Ovis aries: one gene and its partners. The protein of the gene in region 3 interacts with the protein of the main gene of each other region in a pairwise test. Links are inferred from orthologs where the notes say so. Each region holds a gene or a part of one and is shown on either strand. Other genes may lie near its edges.

Region 1 (3,679 bases), on a different chromosome or scaffold from region 3:
ATGGCATCACCAACTCAATGGACATGAGTTTGAGCAAGCTCCAGGAGATGCTGCAGGACAGGGAAGGCTGGTGTGCTGCAGTCCATGGGGCTGCAAAGAGTCGGACACGACTGAGTGGCTTAACAACAAAAAGGCTACTGTGAGTGTTCTGAGCACCTTTGTGATAGGTCTGGATTAAATGTGTGATGCTGGGTAAGTTAGGTGTTATTACATGTGTTCTCAGTTGCATCTTACAGTGCTTTCAACTTACTGATGTGTTTGTCCTGTCTAGTCGTGTCCAACTGGACCATCCCATGGAGTGCAGGCCACCATGCTCCTCTGTCCACGGGATTTCACAGGCAAGAATACCGGGGTGGGTTGTCATGCCCTCTCCTCCAGGGAATCTTCCCAACCCAGGGATCGAACCCAGGTTTCCCGCATTGCAGGCTGATTCTTTACCGTCTGAACCACTAGGGAAGCCCACAGATGTGTTTATCAGGATGTTCTAGGTTAAACAGCGCTAACTCATGGTGACGGAACTGATCACCGTCTGTCCTTATACTCTTACTGCGCTCCCCCAGAATTCGAGTTAAACCCACAGAATTCCCCCAGGCCTATTTCCCTTACCGCGTTTCCCCTTCACACCTGTTCTCCCCATCCACCAGGTGTGCGCATGCTCAGAGCGATTACTTACTGTGGTCTAGACCGACGGACATCGATCCACTCTGGGCTCGGCTTCTTGACTGATCGGCTTTCGATTGAGGTGCGTGGTAGCGTCATTTCCGGTGGCTGGTTCCGCTTCCGGGTTCTGGCTTGTGGTTGTTACGGGACGTAGAGGACCTGTTCGGTGAGTTGGCGGGGTTTTTTTCTTCGCTCTCTCCTCTCTTCTGGCTGCGGGTTGCGGCTTAGGCAGACCTTCCCCTGCGGGAGCCGAGAATAAGCGGTCCGCTGCGCTGGGGCCGGAATATATGCAGCCGAGGGTGCGTGGTGGGTCGCCGAGGAAGGCCTGGAAACTGACGCTCGGGTCTGGCGAGGCCCCTGGACTTAGAGCTTGTCTTAGGCGGGACACTTTGGGGCCGGGCATGGCGTGGCCGCTTCCTGGGGCTTCGGGCGGAGCCCGTGGGCGGACGTCGCTGCGTCTGGAGAGCCGGCACCCTCGCGCGTGTGAAGTTACGGAAAACCTTCGCGTATGCGAGGCGATTACCGCGCGCCGTGCGTTCTCAGGGACCTCCCAGAGGCTCCCCTTTTGAATCCGGAAGGCGACTCCCTGCGCCCCTGCTCAGTTTGATCCCTGTCACTTCCTTCTCTTCATCGTCTTCGAGTCACCAATCCACCAAGATTCAGTTTAGGGGTCTCAAACCTCTGAGAGGCGTTCAGTTCAGTTCAGTCGCTCAGTCGTGTCCGACTCTTTGCGACTCCATGAATCGCAGCACGCCAGGCCTCCCTGTTCATCACCATCTCCCAGAGTTCACTCAGACTCACGTCCATCGAGTCCTTGATGCCATCCAGCCATCTCATTCTCGGTCGTCCCCTTCTCCTCCTGCCCCCTATCCCTCCCAGCATCAGAGTCTTTTCCAGTGAGTCAACTCGTCTCATGAGGTGGCCAAAGTACTGGAGTTTCAGCTTTAGCACCATTCCTTCCAAAGAAATCCCAGGGCTGATCTCCTTCAGAATGGACTGGTTGGATCTCCTTGCAGTCCAAGGGACTCTCAAGTGTCTTCTCCAACACCACAGTTCAAAAGCATCAATTCTTCGGCTCTCAGCCTTCTTCACAGTCCAACTCTCACATCCATACATGACCACTGGAAAAACCATAGCCTTGACTAGACGGACCTTAGTTGGCAAAGTAATGTCTCTGCTTTTGAATATGCTGTCTAGGTGGGTCATAACTTTTCTTCCAAGGAGTAAGTGTCTTGTAATTTCATGGCTGCAGTCACCATCTGCAGTGATTTTGGAGCCCCCAAAAATAAAGTCTGACACTGTTGCCACTGTTTCCCCATCTATTTGCCATGAAGTGATGGGACTGGATGCCATGATCTTCATTTTCTGAATGTTGAGCTTTAGGCCAACTTTTTCACTCTCCTCTTTCACTTTCATCAAGAGGCTTTTTAGTTCCTCTTCACTTTCTGCCATAAGGGTGGTGTCATCTGCATATCTGAGGTGATTGATATTTCTCCTGGCAATCTTGATTCCAGCTTGTGTTTCTTCCAGTCCAGCGTTTCTCATGATGTACTCTGCATAGAAGTTAAATAAGCAGGGTGACAATATACAGCCTTGACGTACTCCTTTTCCTATTTGGAACCAGTCTGTTGTTCCATGTCCAGTTCTAACCGTTGCTTCCTGACCTGCATACAGATTTCTCAACAGGCAGGTCAGGTGGTCTGGTATTCCCATCTCTTTCAGAATTTTCCACAGTTGATTGTGATCCACACAGTCAAAGGCTTTGGCATAGTCAATAAAGCAGAAATTGATGTTTTTCTGAAACTCTCTTGCTTTTTCCATGATCCAGTGGATGTTGGCAATTTGATCTCTGGTTCCTCTGCCTTTTCTAAAACCAGCTTGAACATCAGGGAGTTCATGGTTCACGTATTGCTGAAGCCTGGCTTGGAGAATTTTGAGCGTTATTTTACTAGCATGTGAGATCAGTGCAATTGTGCGGTAGTTGGAGCATTCTTTGGCATTGCCTTTCTTTGGGATTGCGTTACCTTTCACCTGTTAACCTACAGAACAGTCCTCATCTGTAGGCGTTTTGCTTGTCAGACATCCTACGCTATGCAAGTACTATGAGTGTAAATGTTTGTGAAATGAAGGTATATGTGGGTTATCAGGGAATAAAGCAAGGTCCCAGTTCGTGACTAAAGAGTGGGAAAAATGAAATAGTGTGGTGGGTGTGAAATAAAAGTGCAAGAGACAGAAAACGAGGGTTGAATTTTCAGGCCTCCTGCGTATCACCTATGTAACCGTGGGAAAGAACTTGCATTAACTTTTTGTTTCGTCGCCAAATCATGTTCCACTCTTTGCGACCCATGGACTGTATTCCGCCAGGCTCCTCTATCCATGGGATTTCCCAGGCAAGAATACTGGAGTGGGTTGCCATTTCCTTCAGGGGATCTGCGTGACCCATGGTTCGGGCCCGCGTCTCCTGCGTTGACAGGCCGATGCTTTACCACTGAGCCACCTGGGAATCTGTGCTTTATTCTGTGATAAACAGCAGTGACAGCTGTTGTAAGTGCTTACTGCTCATTCTAAAGCTGCAAAGAATTTTATCTCATTTAGTCTTCTGAGCTCTATTGGGCAAATCACCATCCCCATTTTACAGATATGAACCTGTGAAATTAAGGAACTTGCCATCAGTCAAGCAGCTAGTAAGAAGCATAGAAAGATTTGAATTCAAATCCACTGGCACTAGATCCTAAGTTTTTAACCATCATGCTGTACTATACCAGCGTTTCAAGTCGGTTCCATTTGACTTTGGAATCAGGACTGTTGGTGATGGTGTGTGTAAATTAAGCAATAATATGGAAGTGCTTTATGAGAGTACCCATGCAAGGATTCTTAGCCAATTTCATTAATGTTCTGTATCTTATGATTTTTACTGAACGTGCATTAGTTAGCTTGTTTTTTTCATTTTTCACCGAATCTATTCACTTTTTAAATATTGTTTAAAAGGAAAAGTTTCATTAGGCAAATGGATAAAAAC
Region 2 (3,752 bases), on a different chromosome or scaffold from region 3:
TCTTGAATTGAGAATGCTCTTGTATCTCAAGGTCTTGTTAAAAACAAAATTTAACTGAAGATTTGAAGATCTAATTGGCTTTATTTAACAATTCATGAATCAGGAAGTATCTCATCGAGTAAATACAAAGGCACTCTGAGGTGCTGTACAAGATGCAAGACTTTTATAGAAATGGAGGCAGGATAATGAGGTTATTAGCAAAAGAAAGGGGAATTCCATTTAGGGGGAATGTTGGGGGACTTATCTTGCAGATTACCTCACTAGAGCTGAAATGCCAGACTGGTTAGTTTAAAATTCCACTCCAGGAGAAGCTGAAACTCCTACTAGATTAGGAAATGAGTCTTGGTGGGATTTAGCAGAAGTGAATGCATTTGGGCCTTGTTTGTTTTTAACAGTCTCCAGGACCACCAGACCCTCCTCTTTACCTTTACTCATCTTAAAGATCAATTTCCTCTTGGACCACGCCTCACTCCCACTTCCTCTAGGTTATGCGCTCCTGTTCTCCGCGTCCACTGCCCTTCCACACCTTACTGTATAATTCATCACACTGCCTTGAATCTACAGGCACTGAACCCCTTGAGGACCCCTCCAGTCGCTGGCTTCTTCGCCGCAGACTCCAGCACCTAGGACAGGGCCTGACACGAAGTAGGTGCGTAGCGAATAGAGGACGCAGGAAAGAATGGATGCGAGCGAGTGGGTGTCCTCGGAAGGCAGCGCCAAGTAGTTGAGAACCCGCGGTTTCTCTGTGGGAGGAGGGCTCGACGGACTCGCCGAAGGGTATTAAGGAGGGCTGCGCTCCTTAACAGTGCACTCCATTCCTCACCCAGCGAAGCCTCTGCCGCACAGACACGGCGCCCCTCCCACTTCCGGGCCAGCAGAACAGGAAGTGGAGGCGCGGGCTTCCCATGAAGCAGCGCGGGGCGCCTATTCAAACCGAATGGAGAACGGGGAGGAGGTAGTGATGGCGGCCCCGGAGCCGGAAGTGCAGTCCCCGGCCGCAGTCCCTGGTAAGATATGGAGTCCGGAGCTCGAGGAGTTTGTTTCCTCCCTGCCACGGCTCCCTCCAGTCATTTAGCCCGTAGTCGTTTCACTAGCCCGTGTTCCTTGTCCCCATTTCCCGTCGTCCCTCCCAGCTCTGACTTGGCCCCTTTGACTCCATCGCCCCCGCGGCCCTGAATTCCATTGGTTCACTCTCCTTTTCGCGGCGTGTTCTGGGCTCTGCTTGACACCGCTTTTTCTCAACTCATTTTCCCATATCAGGGCCTCTGCTTTCTGAGCAGATCTCCAGTCTCTGTCTCAGAAATTCCCGCCACCTGGCCCCCCCAAATCCTGCAGTCTCTTAGACAACTGGGATCTGGAACCTGCGAGCGGCCTCCCAGAGGGGAGTTTGCGGAGGGAATCCGCCTGTGTAGGCGTGTGGCCTCAGCTGTGGTGGCTGATGTCCCCACAAGGGATGGAAAGACTGACTCTGGCCTCTTCACTTTTTCTCATCCAAGTTCTAATCAGGCCGGACCCTGTTTAGCTTTGGAGAACAGAGGAGATCGGGCTTCAGGGTGGTATGTCCATAGATCTTTTAAGTTTTTCGTTTTTCTCTCTTGTCCCTCTGTGCACCTAGTAGATTTGGAGTGGTGTGAGAAGTCGGAGGAAACCCAGGACCCCCAGATAGAACTACTTGAGACCACCTCCACCCAGGAACCTTCCAACCCTTTGGAGCCCTTTCGTCCCAGAGACTGCATGGTGCCAGTGGTGTTTCCTGGGCCTGTGAGCCAGGAAGGCTGCTGTCGCTTTACTTGTGAACTTCTAAAACATATCATGTACCAACGCCAGCAACTACCTCTGCCCTACGAACAGCTTAAGCACTTCTACCGAAAACCTTTTCCCCAGGTAGGCACAAGCTTTGGGAGAAAATTGGTGAGTGAACTTTGTGGCTATTAGATGGTGGCAGGTAGAAAGGGTGGTCAAAGGAACCTTCACGCATGTCAGCATAAGCAGCTGTAAACGATGGTTCAGCCCTATGGCTTCAGTCCTTTCCCACTCTAGTCTGGATATTCAAAGCCTTGCTTTTTCTCTTGTTTTCTTTTTCTGAAACTCCTATTGTGTGTTACATTTGGACTTTATGAACGGATCCTCTAATTTTAGTGTATTTTCTCTCCAAATCCTCATTTCTTTGTTTCTGTTATATTTTCTTCCTTGAGTTTATGTTCTTAAACTTAATTTTTTGGCAGTCGCAGTCTTAAGAACTTTTTCTTAAAATTTTTATTTTTTAAATTTATTTTGACTGTGCTGGGTCTTAGTTGCAACCTGCAAGCAAGATCTAGTTCTATCCCTGAACAGGGATGGAACCCAGGCCCCTGCATTGGGAGTTCACAGTCTTACCCACTGGACCACCAGGGAAGTCCCACATGTTCCTTTTTAGTTATATCCTGTTTCCTGTCTGTATGAACTTCCCTTGTGGGTATTAATTACTGTGTTTTTGAAGTTTCCCTCTGTCTCTTGCACTGTCTCTGTTTCTTCCAGATTCCTTTCCTATTTATTTGTTTTGGTCTCTTTCACAGTTGAGGCTTTTATTTGGTGTCTGAATGTTTAAGAATAAGTCATTAAAAGTTCTGTGTGCGAGGCTGGCCCTGTGAGCTAGCTGATAGACTTAAAGGACATTGGGTGGGAACAAAGTGGTAATGATAACGGGAAAGAGGATTATTTGCTCTAATAAAGGTGATTTTGGAGTTATCTTTCAGTTAAACATGGTAAACTGAACACGTTTATTTCTGCTTCTATCTGATAGACTACTCAATGAGAGAAGAAGGAAGGAAGGAAAGAGAAAGAACACTTCCAAAGCATTGTGTTTGGGTGGGGGAAACTTGCAGGCCATCGAAGGGTACTGGGCTTCCCAGGTGGCACTAGTGGTAAAGAATCTGCCTGCCAATGCAGGAGACATGAGAGATGCAGCTTTGAACCCTGAGTTGGGAAGATCCCCTGGAGTGAATGGCAACCCACTCTAGTATTCTTGCCTGGAGCATCCCATGGACAAAGGAGCCTGGCAGGCCACAGTCCGTAGGGTCACAAAGAGTTGGACATGACTGAAGTGACTTAGCACGCATGCACACTTAGGGCCCTTGCACAGGTGTTCACTCAGTCCCCATGTGTTCACTTTTGTGTTCTGTGGTGCTTAAGTGAACAACTCCTGGGCCTTTTACGGACTTCTTCAGTGTGGTTTTGCTTCTCAGGGGAGTCCCCTCTGACAGCACTTGGTATTCAGCTCTCTTGAGTGCTTCCTACTTTCTCTCTTCCAAAAATTTGTTGTCGTCTTTAGCCACTGTCATCTATTTTTTAGTTATTTTTGCCACTGGGAGTCCTCTTTCTCTCCCCTCCCTTCCTGCTTCCCTCCCCTCTTTCTTCCTCCCTCCCACCCACTCTTTCATTTCCTTCCTACCTTCCATCAGTTTGCCATGTTTGTTTGTTTAATTTGTTGAAGGATAATTGTTTTACAGAACTTTGCTGTTTTCTCTCAAGTCTCAACATGAATGCCATGTTTAACTGGAGGATGAATTCCAGAATTTATTAGACCAAATAATCCTTGGTGGTTTTTTTTTTGGCTGAATAATTGCCAAGCACAGGCTCTCTAGTTGCCCCGTGGCATATGGGAATCTTAGTTTCCTAAGCAGAAATCAAGCTCTCCTCCTGTGTGTTGGAATGTGGATTCTTAACTACTGGACCACCAGGAAAGTCCCCAGTCCTCAGTCTTGTCATTATTT
Region 3 (2,953 bases):
AAATTGAAGAGACTCGAGCCCGAGTAGTCTACCATCGGGACCAACTCCATTTCAAATCCCTTCTCTCTTTTACTCATCATGCAGGGCGGCCCCCAGAGGAAGTGCCTCCTTCTCCTGTGCCACCTCCGGAACAAGTTGGTCTTGGAATAGTGCCCCTGACTCTTAGCGAGCCCACCCAGATGAAAGGATTGAAGGTAGAGCCTGAGGAGCCACTGAATCACCAGAAAGCAAAGGAGACCCTGATGGTACCTGGCAGTGGAGCATTCCCCCATCAATCGCAATTTTGGCAGGATCATCAATGCAGTGGCCTCTCCAAGGAGCAGGCAGGCAGGTGTCCCGACCAGTCACACAGCCTAGGTACTGCCTCCTGGAACCATGCCACAGCTGTCCACCAGCCCCATGCTCGGGATAAGCCCGAATCCATCTCATTACTTGCCAGTAGTTGTAAGAAGGAGTCAGCATCTAATGTGACTCCTCCTTCCTCTACCTCTTCTTCCTCTTTCCAGGGACTGGCTAATGGAGCTCCTGCCACCTCTAAGTCCCTCCAGCCACTGGGCTGTGCCCCACAACCACTGTCACCCAATGAACAGGCACTACCCCCACAGCTGGAGCCAGCTTGGCCCCAGGGGCTAAGGCATAACTCAGCATCAGGTAGGGTTGGCCCTGCAGAGTATCTTTCCCCAGACATGCAACGCCAGCGAAAGACCAAGCGCAAAACCAAAGAGCAGTTGGCTATCCTCAAATCGTTTTTTCTACAGTGCCAATGGGCACGGCGTGAGGATTACCATAAATTAGAGCAGATCACTGGTTTACCTCGGCCTGAGATTATTCAGTGGTTTGGTGACACACGCTATGCCTTGAAGCATGGGCAACTAAAATGGTTTCGGGACAATGCAGTACCTGGTGCCCCTAGCTTCCAGGATCCAGCAATTCCTACACCACCACCTTCAACCCGCTCCTTGAATGAATGGGCTGAGACACCACCTCTGCCAAATCCCCCGCCCCCACCGGATATACGACCCTTGGAGAGGTACTGGGCAACCCACCAACAGCTCCGGGAAAGTGATATCCCTCAACTGAGTCAGGCATCAAGGCTTAGCACCCAGCAGGTACTGGATTGGTTTGACTCTCGATTACCTGAGCCAGCTGAAGTGGTGGTCTGTCTAGATGAAGAGGAGGAAGAGGAAGAGGAGGAACTGCCAGAAGATGAAGAGGAGGAGGAGGAGGACGATGACGACGATGATGATGATGTGATCATCCAGGACTGAGTGGGAGGCTGGGGGAGGGGAGGTCTGTTACTAAAAGACAAACCAACTTAGTTAACTGTTTAAACAAAGAAACCACATTATTTTCTTTTTAACTTACCTTGTGGCAAAGAACTGAAAAACTTTGTGTTCTTGAGGGTGGGGGACAGGGATATAGTAAGGGTAGACCAGGGAGGATGACCATGGAGTACAAAACGAGGTGGGGATCAGACGGGCAGAAATCTAGGCCTCCAATCTCACTGAGGGGCTTGCTATGGGTCTGGGAAAAGGCTCTTGCTCTTTTCATATCCCTGTTCTTTCACCTTACTATTCTACAGAGAGGCTAGGCTTTGGCCCACGGCCATGGAGTTCTGTAAAGGAGGAGGAAAGTTTCTAATACGACCCCAGTCCCAGCATTTTCCCCAAATATAAGGCTGCCTTGCACCTCATTTCTCTCTGAACACAAGTTCATGCATTAATGCAGCTAAGAATCTCAGTTATGTCCCAGTCAATCGCAAATACTTCCTCTCCTCATACCAGCTTGATTTTCTGTGTTTTCCTGCTGCTTTTTGAATCTCACAGGGAGCAGAATGTTTTCATTTCTGATACTGGGACCACTATGCCTTGTACCTTTCCAAAAATCCCCATTCTGTTCACTGTTTGTCTCAGGGTAAATCTTCCCCCCGGAGCTTGTGAAAAAGTTTAATAATTGGGTGGAGAATAATTTAGACTGGATATTTATTGGAGGGAATTAGGGGAGATGTCCTTTTAAAAAAGTAGAATTATAGATTACCGAGGAGTAAAGGAGAGGGAATGGTGTCTGCTGTTCGGGAGGACAGTCCAGATAGATTCCAGGTTTGGTTTTACAAACCTGACACTCCCACCTGCCTAGTTTGACAGAAACTGATTTTTTAATCTTTTTGGTGTTGGTCTGTGTCCACAAAAGAGACTTTACCCCCTGTTTATAATATCTGTCTTGAGGACAGAAGTCCTTATGTTTTAGAGTGGTTTTCATCAGTTGGGGTCAGATATAAAGATATCAGTGGGTTAACCATCTAGAAATAAAAGAGTGGAAGCCCCAAATTGCTAGACTAATAATAAAAAGGCCAAAAATAAAATTGTTTCTCTCTCCACTTTGCCATTTCTCTGGTTTAAAGATTAATGGAACCAAATTCATCTACTTTCTGATTTAGTATACTTTTTATTTTCAAAGCAGCAGGATATACTGAGGTAAAGTAAATGAACAAAACTTGAAATAGATCAGTACCTATTAATAGGCAGATTGCTTTCCACACCTGCTATAGCGTAGGTTCTCTCTCAGAAGAGGGGGAGTCTAGAAATGCCTTTAAAAATAAGCTCAGTTTCAGAAAACGTAATAGGATCCTATTCAGCTACCACGTCATTCCTAAGACCTAATTTATCTCTAGCGGATGCTCTCTTCAGTTTTCCAGTATTTTCACTTAAGGTATACCTGCCTATGGTCCACCCATTTAATTCCTCATTTCTACCCCTTACTACCCAAAGAAGAATAAATGTTTGATCTCAGTGGTAATGTTCTTTGCTTATCCCACCATTTGAGAGTTTACGACATCAACAGAGTTACAGTAGCAATAAAAGGGCATCCTCTTTGTTTCATTATCTGTATACTTTAGTAGGGCTTCAAGCCTGTGTTTCCAACTGTTACGAAACAGAAAGGAAAATCAACATAT

What was found.
Region 1: the proteins of HOMEZ (region 3) and SNRPB2 interact in binary tests that used the Homo sapiens proteins (3 or more experiments, as listed by UniProt). The two-hybrid records come from large-scale screens. The link is inferred for Ovis aries from reciprocal best matches to the Homo sapiens genes HOMEZ and SNRPB2.
Region 2: the proteins of HOMEZ (region 3) and MAD2L1BP interact in binary tests that used the Homo sapiens proteins (3 or more experiments, as listed by UniProt). The two-hybrid records come from large-scale screens. The link is inferred for Ovis aries from reciprocal best matches to the Homo sapiens genes HOMEZ and MAD2L1BP.

The regions. Positions count from the first base shown.
Region 1 is NC_056066.1:10,387,608-10,391,286, forward strand, and holds the start of SNRPB2 (U2 small nuclear ribonucleoprotein B''), read left to right. Parts: upstream 1-766; 5' UTR 767-3,204; intron 3,205-3,679. UniProt on the Homo sapiens protein: Involved in pre-mRNA splicing as component of the spliceosome. Associated with sn-RNP U2, where it contributes to the binding of stem loop IV of U2 snRNA.
Region 2 is NC_056073.1:17,151,322-17,155,073, forward strand, and holds the start of MAD2L1BP (MAD2L1-binding protein), read left to right. Parts: upstream 1-926; 5' UTR 927-937; coding exon 938-1,007; intron 1,008-1,615; coding exon 1,616-1,884; intron 1,885-3,752. UniProt on the Homo sapiens protein: May function to silence the spindle checkpoint and allow mitosis to proceed through anaphase by binding MAD2L1 after it has become dissociated from the MAD2L1-CDC20 complex.
Region 3 is NC_056060.1:21,435,001-21,437,953, forward strand, and holds the end of HOMEZ (homeobox and leucine zipper protein Homez), read left to right. Parts: coding exon 1-1,268; 3' UTR 1,269-2,377; downstream 2,378-2,953. UniProt on the Homo sapiens protein: May function as a transcriptional regulator.